Macaca fascicularis: one gene and its partner. The protein of the gene in region 2 interacts with the protein of the main gene of each other region in a pairwise test. Links are inferred from orthologs where the notes say so. Each region holds a gene or a part of one and is shown on either strand. Other genes may lie near its edges.

Region 1 (4,359 bases), about 83 Mb from region 2:
GAGGTCTCACTGCCCCAGATGGTAAGTGAGGAAGGTTGAGATACCTCCAAATGCCACGCTTTCAAGGAGAAAAACACCTTCTGGACTGATACTAGCTACATATAAAACACCTCGTTTTAAAATCCTTCCACCAGGAAAGAGCACTATGGAGCTGCTTACAGCCTTTCCCCTAGCTTGTCCAGGACGATGTCACCAGCAGCCAGCTGCTTGCGCCTCAGCCGCTCTTTTAAGTCTGGGAAGGCCCGAAGCGCCGGCACATCCTCGAACCGCAGGTTCTGTGCGGCCTGCAGCTGCTCCGCCAGGTTGCTGAGGGAAGACAGGAGGGGCTGGCAGTCCTGCAGGGCACTCTGCCACAGGCCCTGCTGCTCCTCCACCACCAGGAAGCACTTCTTCAGGGCCTCCTGCACGGCAAGCAGAGGCCGGTCTTGAGTCATCTTCTGCTGAAAAAGATAAAAATAGAAAATAACCACGTTGGGGTGGCAAGTCAGTCCGGGAGGCACTGGGTCGAGGGTGGGCGTCATTTCCGTCCTCGTGTTCACACAGGAGTTGTCTCACCTCCAGAAGTGGTTTTTTTTGTTTTTGTTTTTTTCGACACGGAATTTCACTCTGTCGCCCAGGCTGGAGTGCAGTAGCGCTATCTCGGCTCACTCCAACCTCTGCATCCCAGGTTCAAGCAATTCTCCTGTCTCAGCCTCCCGAGTAGCTGGGAATACAGGTGCCCGCCACCACGCCCGGCTAATTTTTGTATTTTTAGTAGAGACAGGGTTTCGCCATGTTGGCCAGGCTGGTCTTGAACTCCTGACCTCAGGTTTTCCGCCCGTCTCGGTATCCCAAAGTGCTGGGATTACAGGCGTGAGCCACCAGCCCCGGCCCTGCCTCAGCTTTCTGAAGGAGATCCTGGCTTCCCCTTGGGAAGGGTAACCTGGATAGGGCAGTCTCCTGCTTCAGAGGATTCCCGGCGGCCAATCGCCGTCTCTTCTCTGACCTACAGTCCTGTCTCCCCTGCCCGAGGCTGCCGGTCGCGTTCCTGAAACCAGCGGAAAAACTTAAAAGTCAAGACACCCAAAGCGTGAGCACCACGCGCCCATAGTCTCTCTGCGCATGCTCACAGGCGACCGCCCCCAAAGCTCCTCCGCAGGCCTGCAAGGCTATTGAGTCGCGAAAATATATCATAGTACCGAAATTACTTCTGGGTACTGTAGTCCAACATGTGGATTGGCCACTCGGCTTGAAGCTTCCTTGGGACTGGATGTTGGGACCGTCCAAACACGGCGACTTCTCATTTGTCAGCCTGCGGCAGTTTAAATTGGGTGGCAGTGGTGGCATGTCCTCTTAACTGTGGAGTCTTTTCCTCTCAGCTTGCGCCTTCGGCTGTGCCTTAATGACACTTTTGACATTGTGTATCACAACCAACTGGCAAAAACTAGTGAATCACGGGCTCCTGACGTGGCAGCTCTCGCTGAGATGCAGGTGGACATCCTAGGTGCCCAGGGAGGTCGGGCACATTGGGGAGTCGGGTGAAGGAAACCCTGAAACCGAGAGGCTGGAAGCCCAATTTGCCCATCATAAAAACACCTGCTGCGGGAAAGCCTACATGAGGTACGGGTTGTCGTCCCCTCTCATCTTGGCCATCTAACTGATGGAGATCCTTAGGCACCCAGCAGACTCGGGTGTCACCCCCACCACCCACTGCCCAGGGCTGACCTTGGGCGGAAGAGCGACATTCAAATATTTTTTGTATATGGAGCAACAAACCAGGGTGGAAGAGAGAGAGAAAGGACTTTCTAGGAAGGGCCAGGCTTGCCAGGGTTTCTATGCTTGGACTGCTCTGTCCCCAAGCTCGCTGGTGCCCATCAGGAGCCTGCTTGGCACCTTTGCTTATTTCTTTGATTGTTCCTGAACTCAGAGGGGGAGAGGCAAGATTATCACTCCCATAGCCTATAACATGCACGCTTAAACACAAACAACCCCTCTGACATGGCTTCATTCCGCATCCACAGGTGAAAAGCACCAAATCCAAACAATCAGGCCACAAACCTGTCAAGAGCTCGCCGGTCTGGCCGTCCAGTCGTCGCCCGCCTTGAGACTCAGCCTGAGCTACAGCTTCGAAACTAGCCTCTAGCCTTGCTGGGTCTCAGCACAACCCTTGAGCAATCCAACCCTGTGGCTGTGGGCAGATGCAAAGATGCACAGTTAGCACTTCCGACAGGACTGCGGCTCAGCGGGGTTCGAGGTCTACACGCCCATTCCCAGGCCCACGGCCAGAACACCCAGAGCTGCCTCCTGCCCTGGGCTCCCTGGAGTGTGGTGGCCGCGGCTCACGCTGCAGTCACCGCGTGGGCAGCTGCCAAGCGCCACTACTCGCACCTGAAGTCGCGGCCCCGCGCTGCACACCCAGTCGAGGCGCCAAGACGCGAACTGGACGGGAGTGGCCGGCCCGCGGGCAAGCGAGGAACAAGAGGGTTCTCCCCACTCGCTGCCCAAACTGGCCACGGGCTGGCGCGCCCACCCCAAAGCCTGCACCCCGGCCCCGCTCCCCTGTCATTCCGCCTCGACCCCTTCCAAACCCTGTCGGGGCTGCTCTGTCTCCGCCGACCCTCCACTTGCCCCAAGTTCGGCCTGGGGAGCTTGGGGCCCTGAGGAGCGCCGACGTAGGCAGCCAACCAGTCAATCAGTCAGAGTGTCACGGCGGCCCCTCGGCTACTCAGTGGCAGCCAGGCCTGGAAGAAGCAGCCGCCGGCCCCGGAGCAGAATCCTACAGCCGACCTGACCTAGTCCGCTCCTAGCCCTTCAAAGATTGGGGTAATGAGGACCCGCCGCAAGGCCTGCCGGGAGTCGCAGTTTGTATAGTTTGCAGCCGGCCAGGGCGGAGCCGGGTGGGTTGGTGGGGAGGGCGGGGAAACAAGCCTGGACCACAACTCCCAGGAGCACCCGCGACGGCGGCGCCCGCGCTGACGCACTCCGGCTATAGGGAGCGCATTGGGCGGGAGACCCCGGGCAGGTAGGAACTTGCTTGTGATTGGATACTGTGGGACGGCGGTTTCTCATTCGTCAGCCTGTGGCTGTGGAGTTTGAATTAGGTGGCGGTTGACGGTAGAGCCGCTCTCTCTCACTGGCATAGCGAGGTTTTACTCAGTCCTTGTCGCGAGACCGGAGGTACGTGCCTGGCGACTTATTCGGGTGGTCCCCATCCGCCCTCCTGGTCCCTACCTGGTTCCTTGCCTCCCTGCCCCATCTCCGCCGCTCCCCGCAGCCTCCGCCGAGCGCCATGGCTCCTAGGAAGGGCAGTAGTCGGGTGGCCAAGATCAACTCCTTACGGAGGCGGAAGCTCGCCTCCTTTCTGAAAGACTTCGACCGTGAAGGTAAAGGGGCCAGGCCGTCGCGGCCTCCTGGGGCGGTCGCGGGATGCTGGCGGGTGGGGACACGAGCTGCACACATTCACCCGCCCCGTGACCCGTGTCCTGTCGGCTCTGCCCTCCCGCAGTGGAAATACGAATCAAGCAAATTGAGTCAGACAGGCAGAACCTCCTCAAGGAGGTGGATAACCTCTACAACATCGAGATCCTGCGGCTCCCCAAGGCGCTGCGCCAGATGAACTGGCTTGACTACTTCGGTAAGAGCTGGAGAGCTTCCCTGGGCGGAGGCCGGGAGCCCCGTGGGGTTAGGTAACACCCTTCAGAAAGGACTCGCTCAGATGTCACCTTTTAATGAAATCTGACATGACCACTTATGGAAAATTGCAGACCCTTTCACTCTCTGTCTCACTTCCGTAAGTCATGTGTCTCCATCCTTTTCTCTAAAGGCCTAGGTAGCAAATATTTTAGGCTACTTGAGCCGGTGGGAGGGGTCTCTGTCGGACAACTTAGCTCTGCTGTTACAGGTCCAAAACAGCTATAGTGAATGGGCATGGATGGGCTGTATTCCAATAAAATTTTAGTTGTGGATACACTGAAATGTGAATTTCACATAATTTTCACACATCAGGAATTTTATTTTATTTTTTTGGAACAGAGTCTCACTCTGTCACCCAGGCTGGAGTGCAGTGCAGTGGTGCGATCTTGGCTCACTGCAACCTCCACCTTCTGTATTCAAGTGATTCTCCTGCCTCAGCCTCCGGAGTAGCTGGGATTACGGTCTCCTGCCACTATGCCCTGCTGATTTTTGTATTTTCAGTAGAGACGAGGCTTCACCATGTTGGCCAGGCTGGTCTCGCACTACTGACCTCAAGTGATCTGCATGCCTCAGCCTCCCAAAGTGCTGGGATTACAGGAGTCAGCCACTGTGCCCAGCCAGAAAATAGTATTTTTAAAAAATATGTATATTTTACCCAACCCATTTAAAAATGAATGAATAAATGAC
Region 2 (3,560 bases):
CCCTCCTTGTGATTGTGATTTCTACTCTCTTTTCAGAGCTCAGAGGGTACTTCCCCAGCTCAGCAACAGGTGGCTCTGCTTGATCTTCAGAGTGCTTTATTCTGCAGCCAGCTGGAAATACAGAAGCTCCAGAGGGTGGTACGACAGAAAGAGCGCCAACTGGCTGACGCCAAACAATGTGTGCAGTTTGTAGAGGCTGCGGCACACGAGAGTGAACAGCAGAAAGAGGCTTCTTGGAAACATAACCAGGTAAATCATTAACTATTTTATTGCCCTAAATGCTGATTTTGCCCTGATAATAACTTTTTAGCAGGATAGTTTGTGTTGAACCCTTGAATCAGTTGCATAATCTAAGTATTTCAGTTCGACACTTGCTGCCCTTGTACCATATGCTAGTTAGAGTAGTCCCCCTTTATCCACAGTTTCACCTTCCATGGTTTCAGTTATCTGGGGTCAACCACAGACAAAAAGCATTAAGATATTTCAAGAGAGACCACATTCACATAACTTTTTTTTTTGAGACAGAATCTCACTCTGTCTCCCAGGCTGGAGTGCAGTGATGTGATCTCTGCTCACTGCAAGCTCCGCCTCCTGGGTTCATGCCGTTCTCCCACTTCAGCCTCCCGAGTAGCTGGGACTACAGGCGCCCGCCACCACGCCCGGCTAATTTTGTTTTTGTATTTTTAGTAGAGACGGGTTTTCATCATGTTAGTCAGGATGGTCTCGATCTCCTGACCTCGTGATCTGCCTGCCTTGGCCTCCCTTACGTAACTTTTGTTACAGCATGTTGTTGTAATTCTTCTATTTTATTGTTATTCTTAATCTGTTAGTATGTCTAATTTGTAAGTAAACCTTTATCATAGTTATCTATGTACAGGAAAAAACAGTTATACACAGGCTTCAGTGCTATCTGGTTTCCGGCATCCACTGGGCGTCCTAGAATGTATCCCCTCTGGGTTGAGGGGTGATCACCATATTGAGTTGTGCCCTGGAAATACAAGGATGAATAGCACAGGCTCCTTTCATTTAAGTTACTTATAGTTCAGTAAGAGAGACAGTCGCATAAGCTGAGTTTCAGAGTGGTAAATTCTGAAGGGGATGTATATATGGAGTCCTACAGGAATATCTAGGAAAGGAGTCAAGGAAAAGGAATCAAGGAAAGCTTCATGAAGGAGGAGACATCTGAGGTTATTCTTGAAGGATGGTTAAAACCAGTCAGAAAAGTGGGGAAGAATCACTAAGGTCAGAGGAATGACATGCATAATAATCAGCCCTGTCTTTTATTTTTTATTTTTGAATAATAAAATATACAATTATTTTCTTTCTTTTTTTCTTTTTTTGAGACAGAGTCTCACTCTGTCACCGAGGCTGGAGTGCAGTGGTACTATCTTGGCTCACTGCAAGCTCCACCTCCCGGGTTCACGCCATTCTCCTGCCTCCGCCTTCTGAGTAGCTGGGACTACAGCCACCTGCCACCACACCCAGCTAATTTTTTTTTGAATTTTTAGTAGAGATGGGATTTCACCATGTTAGCCAGGATGGTCATGATCTCCTGACCTTGTGATCCACCTGCCTCGGCTTCCCAAAGTGTTGGGATTACAGGCGTGACCCACCATGCCCGGCCATTTTTTTTTTTTTTTGAGACGGAGTTTCACTCTTGTTGCCCAAGCTGGAGTGCAATGGTGCAATCTTGGCTCACCACAACCTCCACCTCCCGGGTTCAAGTGATTCTCTTGCCTCAGCCTCCCAGTAGCTGGGATTACAGGTATGCACCACCATGCCTGGCTAATTTTATATTTTTAATAGAGACAGGGTTTCTCCATGTTGGTCAGGCTGGTCTCAAACTCCCAACCTCAGGTGATCTGCCCACCTTGGCCTCCCAAAGTGCTGAGATTACAGGCATGAGCCACCACGCTGGGCCAAAATGCACAATTCTTAAATGGTTCCTTTATCTTGTTAGCTTAGAGCGTATATGTTTAAGATTTAAAAGATTTTTTTTTCGTGGTCTCTTTTCTTAAGCTCTTTAACACTCAGGTTTAAAAGTGTAATTTTTGAAGGATCTCCCTGGTTTAGTGGTTTGGAGATTAAATATTAGCCCTGAATTTCCTTTTGAAATATTAAAATTTCGGCTGGGCACAGTGGCTCACACCTGTAATCCCAGTACTTTGGGAGGCCGAGGCCAGTGGATCATGAGGTCAGGAGTTCAAGACCAGCCTGACCAAGATGGTGAAACCCCATCTCTAGTAAAATTACAAAAATTAGCCAGGCGTGGTTGCGGGCATCTGTAATCCCAGCTACTTCGGGAGACTGAGGCAGAGAAATGCTTGAATCTGGAAGCCGGAGGTTGCAGTGAGCCGAGATTGTACCACTGTACTTCAGCATGGGCGACAGAGTGAGACTCCATTTCAAAAAAAAAAATTAAAATTTCAGATGTCTGGGCAGGGTCAGGGAGTGGTGGAGGATGGGGGTAGAAATAATTCTTAACTTTTTGTTATTTGGCTAAAGGAAACATTTTCCCAAGATTTGTTTGGTTGATGAGAATATGTATTTTGGGAGCTCTCTAAAGTAACAGATGATTTAAAGGTTACTGACTTTCTTATCAGAAAGATAAATATGGCAAGCTAAGAAAGAAGAGTGATGGTCTCTATGAGATCTTTAGAAAAAAGGATGATAGGAATAGTTTATCCTTGAGCTTACTGTAAATAATCCAGGTTTACCATAGGACAGATTCTCATTTAATGGTTCTACACATGTATCCTTTTTAAGCCAAAAAATAAGTATTGAACTATAATTATCAAGCTTACGTCCTACCCATTCACAACTTTTACAATTTTCCATATCCCATTCAATTCATGTATAATACTTCTATAGCAGTTTTAATAATGGCATCCTCTACCGCTCTTTCAGTTTATATACCTTGAAAATTTTAAGGCCTCTATATATAACCATGTGACAATTTTAGATCTCTTAATATGTTTAATTCAGGAATTGCGGAAAGCCTTGCAGCAGCTACAAGAAGAATTGCAGAACAAGAGCCAACAGCTTCGTGCCCGGGAGGCTGAAAAATACAATGAGATTCGAACCCGGGAACAAAACATCCAGCACCTAAACCATAGTCTGAGTCACAAGGAGCAATTGCTTCAGGTGAGTTTACATGATTTCAATGAAAACTGGGCTCATAGAACTCTGAAATTTGTTTATATAAATTTAAGATATTATTCCACCAGTGTTGAGTCCCTGCTATAAGGCAAACATTGAGAGGTGGGAATCAAGAGGATTTAAAATAAATAGAAAGTATAATTTGTGAATTAAGATGCTTACTAACAAGTGTAAGAAACAGTACATATAGCCCTGATTTAAGCAGTCTTTTATGAAGTCTTTTATAAAGACTTAATATTCAGAAAATAGTTATTAAGCACCTCTGTGAGTCACACACTTTTCTGGGCGTTGGGAAGACAAAAGATTTGGCTACTGTTCTCAGTTTAATAGATGAAGACAAACTACAGAAACTTCCAGAGTCATTTTGATGATGGAATGAAAGTTTGAGGGGAAAATGGAGC

Evidence for each region.
Region 1: the proteins of PDE4DIPP2 (region 2) and AIRIM interact in binary tests that used the Homo sapiens proteins (3 or more experiments, as listed by UniProt). The two-hybrid records come from large-scale screens. The link is inferred for Macaca fascicularis from reciprocal best matches to the Homo sapiens genes PDE4DIP and AIRIM.

Annotation. Positions count from the first base shown.
Region 1 is NC_088375.1:197,229,307-197,233,665, reverse strand, and holds the start of AIRIM (AFG2-interacting ribosome maturation factor), read right to left. Parts: upstream 2,821-4,359; 5' UTR 2,608-2,820; exon of another isoform or gene 2,368-2,607; intron 2,169-2,367; exon of another isoform or gene 2,168-2,168; 5' UTR 2,038-2,167; intron 1,544-2,037; exon of another isoform or gene 1,480-1,543; 5' UTR 1,284-1,479; coding exon 1,179-1,283; intron 1,108-1,178; exon of another isoform or gene 556-1,107; intron 441-555; coding exon 160-440; intron 1-159. Other genes in the region: CDCA8 (borealin), read left to right, coding at 3,269-3,362, 3,485-3,613. UniProt on the Homo sapiens protein: Part of the 55LCC heterohexameric ATPase complex which is chromatin-associated and promotes replisome proteostasis to maintain replication fork progression and genome stability.
Region 2 is NC_088375.1:114,048,054-114,051,613, reverse strand, and holds part of PDE4DIPP2 (myomegalin), read left to right. Parts: intron 1-36; coding exon 37-249; intron 250-2,985; coding exon 2,986-3,144; intron 3,145-3,560. UniProt on the Homo sapiens protein: Functions as an anchor sequestering components of the cAMP-dependent pathway to Golgi and/or centrosomes.